Linked DNA regions of Saccharomyces cerevisiae S288C. The protein of the gene in region 1 interacts with the protein of each later gene in a biochemical or structural test. Each region holds a gene or a part of one and is shown in the gene's direction. Other genes may lie near its edges.

Evidence for each region. The genes of interacting proteins can lie anywhere in the genome.
Region 2: the proteins of GGA2 (region 1) and PIK1 form a complex in vitro, tested with the Saccharomyces cerevisiae proteins (2 studies listed by BioGRID).

The regions. Positions count from the first base shown.
Region 1 is NC_001140.6:326,217-329,972, forward strand, and holds the start of GGA2 (phosphatidylinositol 4-phosphate-binding protein), read left to right. Parts: upstream 1-2,086; coding exon 2,087-3,756. Other genes in the region: thioredoxin-disulfide reductase TRR2, read left to right, coding at 1-410; septin CDC12, read right to left, coding at 597-1,820. UniProt on the Saccharomyces cerevisiae protein: May play a role in the regulation of membrane traffic through the trans-Golgi network.
Region 2 is NC_001146.8:138,878-142,633, forward strand, and holds the start of PIK1 (1-phosphatidylinositol 4-kinase), read left to right. Parts: upstream 1-2,000; coding exon 2,001-3,756. Other genes in the region: LYP1 (lysine permease), read left to right, coding at 1-1,508. UniProt on the Saccharomyces cerevisiae protein: Acts on phosphatidylinositol (PI) in the first committed step in the production of the second messenger inositol 1,4,5,-trisphosphate. PIK1 is part of a nuclear phosphoinositide cycle and could control cytokinesis through the actin cytoskeleton.

The DNA.
Region 1 (3,756 bases):
TAAGAAAGGATCATTTTCGTGCATCTGTAATAATGCAGAGACGAATTGAGAAAAATCCAAACATCATTGTTTTGTTCAACACAGTTGCATTAGAAGCTAAGGGTGATGGTAAGTTATTGAATATGTTGAGAATTAAGAATACTAAAAGTAATGTGGAGAACGATTTAGAAGTAAATGGACTATTTTACGCAATAGGTCACAGCCCTGCCACAGATATAGTTAAAGGACAAGTAGATGAAGAAGAGACGGGGTATATAAAAACTGTGCCTGGATCGTCTCTGACTTCTGTGCCAGGTTTTTTTGCTGCAGGTGACGTTCAGGACTCTAGGTATAGACAAGCAGTTACTTCTGCTGGTTCCGGATGCATTGCTGCTTTGGATGCAGAACGGTACCTAAGTGCCCAAGAGTAACGTGAAAAAACCGGTTTATTTTTGTTTTTACTGTTCGATTGTGTTACGTATTCTATGTTTTTTGAGATATATTTGAAATATTTTTATAAGATACATATATATATGTGCGTATTGCTGCGACAAAAGAAGAGACAAAGAGATAGGCGTTGAAATTGACGAGACAAAGAGGAAGACATTAATTAATCATCATTTTAAATGGGATTTTTTTACTTGCAAGCTTTTGACCTGCTCTTCTAGTTTTTTTACCTTTCCTTGAATTTCTTCCAAGTCACCGTTCAGTCTGATTCTTTCGTTAACAATGTTTTGCTCCCATTGTCTAAATCTTTGCTCCTCAGCTTTGACTTGGTCAGTGAAATACTTCTTCAATGCATTTTCTTCTTCTTTGTATCTAGGATTGTGTGACAATTTCCTTGCTGGTGCAATTGCTGGAAGAGTGAAATCTTCATTCCCCTCCCCGGTGTTCTCGTGACCCTCAAGTCTTAATCTTCTGTATGTTTCGTAATGCATTTCTTGGGTGGTAGAAATCAAATCTAATAGATAAGTCCTCAGTAACAGGGCTCTGAGCTTACGGAAATCACAATGAGAATCGTTTTCGATTTCCACAAGTCCCCAAGGATACTTCCTTGCAACTACCTGAGTGCCTTGCCCATTGTCAAATTTTTTTTCAGACCCTACTATGGCAAATGGCATTGCTTCTATCAACTGTCTTGCATGTTCAACAGCGGCAGAATCTGGATTACTGCCACTTTTGGCATCTTCCTTAGAATCAGCGTCTAATGGAGGCGTGAAAATACGAATTTCTTGAGCTTCTATTACTTGCCTGATTCTGGACTTGAACTGTTGTAATTCTTGGGCAGTCAATGTATCAGCTTTCGCAATAACTGGAATCAGATTGGCTCTGGTTGACAATCTCTTCATAGTCTCAATGTCAATTGGCTTTAAACCATGTCCAGTGGGCCTGATGAAGTACAGAACGGCATGAACTCTCAAGTCAAATTTCTTAGTACGGTACGGTTGCTGCTCTTGACGCATATAAGAATCGTGTTGATCATCAATAAAATCCACCAATGGTTGCCAGGCTTTGTTGTTATTCACGTTATCTCCAAAACCTGGGGTGTCGATGACATTAACGCGTAATTCGAAATGCTTCTCTTCCAGCAAAGCTCTTGTGATGTCGATTTCTACAGTCTTTCTGATGGGTTCTTGGCGGTGTTGCTGACCATCTGCCCTTTTCAAGACAGTCTGAAATAAGGTATTAATAAATGTAGTTTTACCCAATCCGCTCTCACCACATAACATCACGGTGAATGTACCACCTTCTTCATTAACAATTTTATAACGCTGGTTGGGAAGATTGGATATCCCTACAGGAGGAGGAACAGGGGCAGCAGTCGCAGTGGCAGCACTCATTATTTGATACAATATGTGATGTAGTTCGTTATCAATACTCTTCAGGTCAAGATCCTATATCTTGCTGCACCTTTCAAGACTTTGATCTACTCAAAACAAACAATGGTGATTTCGAAAAAAATTTCGGATTCTTCACTTTTCCAGCGCCCTGTTTTTTTTCTGTAATCACGATTGCAAAAAAAAGAGACTTACCATAGGACAATTTCCATAAACAAAACAAAGAGCAACATAACTCATAGCTGAATTGCTAATCGTGATACTGCATCATGTCCCATCCGCACTCACATAGCATATATTTGTCTGAGTTGCCCGTCAGGAAACCTCAAGCCTTGGGCAATCCTCTTTTGAGGAAGATTCAAAGAGCTTGCAGAATGTCACTTGCTGAACCAGACTTGGCGTTGAATCTTGACATTGCTGACTACATTAATGAAAAACAGGGCGCTGCCCCTAGGGATGCTGCCATTGCACTTGCTAAACTGATCAACAATAGAGAATCGCACGTGGCAATATTCGCGTTATCTCTATTAGACGTGCTTGTCAAGAATTGTGGATACCCATTCCACTTGCAAATTTCTAGAAAGGAATTTTTGAATGAACTGGTCAAGAGATTTCCAGGTCACCCACCATTACGTTATTCTAAGATTCAGAGATTGATTTTAACTGCTATTGAAGAATGGTATCAAACAATTTGTAAACACTCAAGCTACAAGAATGATATGGGTTATATTAGAGACATGCACCGTTTGTTGAAATATAAGGGTTATGCATTCCCCAAAATCAGTGAATCCGACCTAGCAGTTTTGAAGCCTAGTAATCAATTGAAGACCGCTAGTGAAATTCAAAAGGAGCAGGAAATTGCTCAAGCTGCAAAACTCGAAGAATTGATCAGGCGTGGTAAACCTGAAGATTTGAGGGAAGCTAACAAATTAATGAAAATCATGGCAGGGTTCAAAGAAGACAATGCCGTTCAAGCTAAACAGGCTATTTCCAGTGAATTGAACAAATTGAAGCGTAAAGCCGATTTGCTGAATGAAATGCTGGAATCACCTGACTCACAAAACTGGGATAACGAAACTACACAAGAACTTCACAGTGCATTAAAGGTAGCTCAACCAAAATTTCAAAAGATCATTGAGGAAGAACAGGAAGACGATGCGTTAGTGCAGGATCTATTGAAGTTTAATGATACAGTTAATCAACTATTGGAAAAATTCAACTTATTGAAAAACGGTGACTCCAACGCTGCTTCGCAGATACATCCAAGTCATGTTTCTGCTCCGTTACAACAATCTTCTGGTGCTTTAACGAATGAAATCAACTTAATCGATTTCAATGATTTGGACGAAGCGCCCTCTCAAGGCAACAACAATACCAACGGCACGGGTACACCAGCAGCAGCGGAAACATCTGTCAATGACTTATTGGGCGATTTGACCGATTTATCTATTTCGAACCCTTCAACCGCTAACCAAGCATCCTTTGGTCTGGGAGGCGATATCGTGTTGGGGTCCTCTCAACCCGCACCACCAGTTACTACTACTAACAACTCGAACAACACTTTAGATCTTTTGGGACTTTCAACTCCTCAATCGCCAACTAATTCCCAAGCAGTAAACAGTAGTGGGTTCGATCTTTTGATGGGATTTAATCCAACAACAGGTACTACTACTGCGCCCGCAAGAACCCTAGTCAATCAGTCTCCTAACTTGAAGATTGAGTTCGAAATATCTAGGGAGTCAAACTCAGTTATAAGGATAAAATCGTTCTTTACAAACTTAAGTTCGTCACCGATCTCCAACTTAGTGTTCTTATTAGCAGTCCCTAAGTCAATGTCTTTGAAATTGCAACCCCAATCGAGTAACTTTATGATTGGCAACGCTAAAGATGGTATCTCTCAAGAAGGTACAATTGAAAATGCGCCAGCTAACCCTTCAAA
Region 2 (3,756 bases), on another chromosome or scaffold:
TGAAGCAAAGACACATTGGTATGATTGCACTAGGTGGTACAATCGGTACTGGTCTTTTCGTTGGTATCTCCACTCCCTTGAGTAATGCTGGCCCTGTGGGGTCCCTGATTGCTTACATTTTCATGGGCACCATTGTCTACTTCGTTACCCAGTCACTTGGTGAGATGGCTACGTTTATCCCCGTGACATCATCTATCACTGTCTTTTCGAAGAGGTTCTTATCACCTGCATTCGGTGTTTCTAACGGCTACATGTACTGGTTCAATTGGGCTATTACTTATGCTGTGGAGGTTTCTGTCATTGGCCAAGTTATTGAATACTGGACAGATAAAGTTCCATTAGCGGCCTGGATTGCGATATTCTGGGTAATTATTACTTTGATGAATTTTTTCCCTGTCAAAGTTTATGGTGAATTTGAGTTCTGGGTGGCCTCTGTTAAAGTTTTAGCCATTATGGGTTACTTGATATATGCTTTGATTATTGTCTGCGGTGGATCCCACCAGGGCCCTATCGGTTTCAGGTACTGGAGAAATCCAGGAGCCTGGGGGCCAGGCATCATCTCCAGTGATAAAAGTGAAGGCCGTTTTCTCGGATGGGTCTCCTCCTTGATTAATGCTGCATTTACGTACCAAGGTACTGAACTGGTTGGGATCACCGCTGGTGAAGCGGCTAACCCAAGAAAGACCGTTCCAAGAGCTATCAATAAAGTCGTCTTTAGAATCGTACTATTCTATATTATGTCTTTGTTCTTTATTGGTCTACTGGTTCCATACAACGATTCCCGTTTATCTGCTAGTTCTGCTGTTATTGCATCATCACCCTTCGTTATTTCCATTCAAAACGCTGGTACTTATGCTCTTCCAGATATTTTCAACGCCGTGGTGTTGATTACTGTTGTATCTGCCGCTAATTCGAATGTTTACGTTGGTTCCCGTGTTCTTTACTCTTTAGCTAGGACTGGTAACGCACCAAAGCAATTTGGATACGTCACCAGACAGGGTGTTCCATATCTCGGTGTTGTTTGCACTGCTGCATTGGGTCTTTTGGCATTCCTGGTTGTCAATAACAATGCAAACACTGCATTTAACTGGTTGATCAACATTTCCACTTTGGCTGGGTTATGCGCCTGGTTATTCATCTCTTTGGCACATATTAGGTTCATGCAAGCTTTAAAGCACCGTGGTATTTCTCGTGATGATCTGCCCTTCAAGGCCAAATTGATGCCTTATGGTGCCTACTACGCAGCCTTTTTTGTCACCGTCATCATATTCATCCAAGGGTTCCAAGCGTTCTGTCCGTTCAAAGTTTCTGAGTTTTTCACATCTTACATCTCCTTGATTCTTTTAGCCGTTGTGTTCATTGGTTGCCAGATATACTACAAATGCAGATTTATTTGGAAGCTAGAAGATATTGACATCGATTCCGACAGAAGAGAAATCGAAGCAATTATTTGGGAAGACGACGAGCCTAAGAATTTATGGGAGAAATTCTGGGCTGCTGTTGCATAGTCACAGAACCTCTTGCATGCCTTCAAAATAGAAAAAAATAAAAAAATAGACGTTTCATTAATCAAAATAGCCTGTAGAGATTTTGAGGGATTGCCCCAAACTTTATGTATAATATCACCACTTATTATTCACTATTCATAGTATGTTACATCATAAGGCCATTGTCACCTTCGGCCAGCGATAGTACTCAAATCTATAATAAATTTTCCATATTATCCTTTACGTACTTGATAGCGTGTATAACAGGGTCATTATTCACGATATGTTCAACTGTTGTCATTTTCGTGTTATTGCACTGAAACAAAAGAACCCTACCAAAAAATTCGTTAGAGAAAAACTAAAAGTACAAGATCTTATACTGAAGACCCTTCATTTTTTAGGCCCAACTTCTATATTAAGAAGATCCCTGGACCCTGCTAGAAATTTTCAATTAGCTTATCATTTTTCTTCATTGCGAGCGTTCGTTTTCATTAAGCATTCGTTCTCTTCACTATGCATAAAGCATCCAGTTCAAAGAAAAGCTTTGATGATACTATTGAACTAAAAAAAAATGAACAATTACTGAAACTGATCAACTCTAGTGAATTCACCCTTCACAATTGTGTGGAGTTACTGTGCAAACACTCCGAAAATATTGGTATACATTACTATTTATGTCAGAAATTGGCCACATTTCCTCACAGCGAACTACAGTTCTATATTCCCCAACTAGTACAGGTCCTCGTCACCATGGAGACAGAATCAATGGCTTTAGAAGATTTACTATTAAGGTTGAGGGCGGAAAACCCTCATTTTGCACTACTGACGTTTTGGCAGTTACAAGCGTTACTAACGGATTTATCTACTGACCCCGCTTCTTATGGCTTCCAAGTGGCTAGAAGAGTCTTAAACAACTTACAAACCAATCTCTTTAACACAAGTTCAGGTAGCGATAAAAATGTTAAAATACATGAAAACGTTGCACCGGCCTTAGTTCTTTCCTCTATGATAATGTCGGCTATAGCATTCCCCCAATTAAGCGAAGTGACCAAACCATTAGTGGAATCTCAAGGTAGAAGACAAAAAGCTTTCGTTTTTAAGTTGGCTAGAAGTGCAATGAAAGATTTTACCAAGAACATGACCTTGAAAAATACCCTACTAAACAAGAAAACTTCCAGATCCAAAAGAGTTAGCTCAAATCGCAGTTCAACTCCGACTTCTCCAATAGATTTAATAGATCCAATAAAAACTAAAGAAGATGCATCCTTCAGGAAATCCAGACATAGTGAGGTAAAATTGGATTTCGACATTGTGGATGATATAGGTAACCAGGTCTTTGAAGAAAGAATCTCATCTTCAATCAAACTCCCAAAACGTAAACCTAAGTATTTGGATAATTCATACGTTCATAGGACATATGATGGCAAAAATATAAACAGGGACGGAAGCATTTCAAATACCGCAAAGGCTCTCGATGGAAATAAAGGTGATTATATTTCTCCAAAGGGACGTAATGATGAAAATAATGAGATTGGTAACAATGAAGATGAAACTGGTGGTGAAACGGAGGAGGACGCGGACGCTTTAAACTCTGATCACTTCACCAGTTCTATGCCAGATCTGCATAATATTCAACCAAGGACTTCTTCTGCTTCATCTGCTTCTTTAGAAGGGACACCTAAGTTAAACAGGACCAATTCCCAACCCCTTTCGCGCCAGGCATTCAAAAACAGTAAAAAAGCGAATTCTTCTTTGAGTCAAGAAATTGACTTGTCGCAATTATCGACCACTTCAAAAATAAAAATGTTAAAAGCAAATTATTTTCGTTGCGAGACACAATTTGCCATTGCGCTAGAAACAATATCTCAAAGGCTAGCTCGAGTACCGACAGAAGCTAGATTGAGTGCCTTACGAGCCGAGTTGTTTCTATTAAACAGGGACCTACCAGCGGAAGTAGATATCCCCACTTTATTGCCTCCAAATAAAAAAGGAAAGTTACATAAATTAGTGACCATTACTGCTAATGAGGCACAAGTTTTGAACTCTGCAGAAAAAGTTCCATATTTACTCCTGATAGAATACTTGAGAGACGAATTTGATTTTGACCCAACAAGTGAAACCAATGAAAGATTATTAAAGAAGATCAGTGGTAATCAGGGAGGCTTGATATTTGATTTAAATTACATGAATAGAAAAGAAAACAACGAAAATAGAAATGAAAGTACTCTTACTAGCAACAACACTCGATCTTCGGTATATGATAGTAACT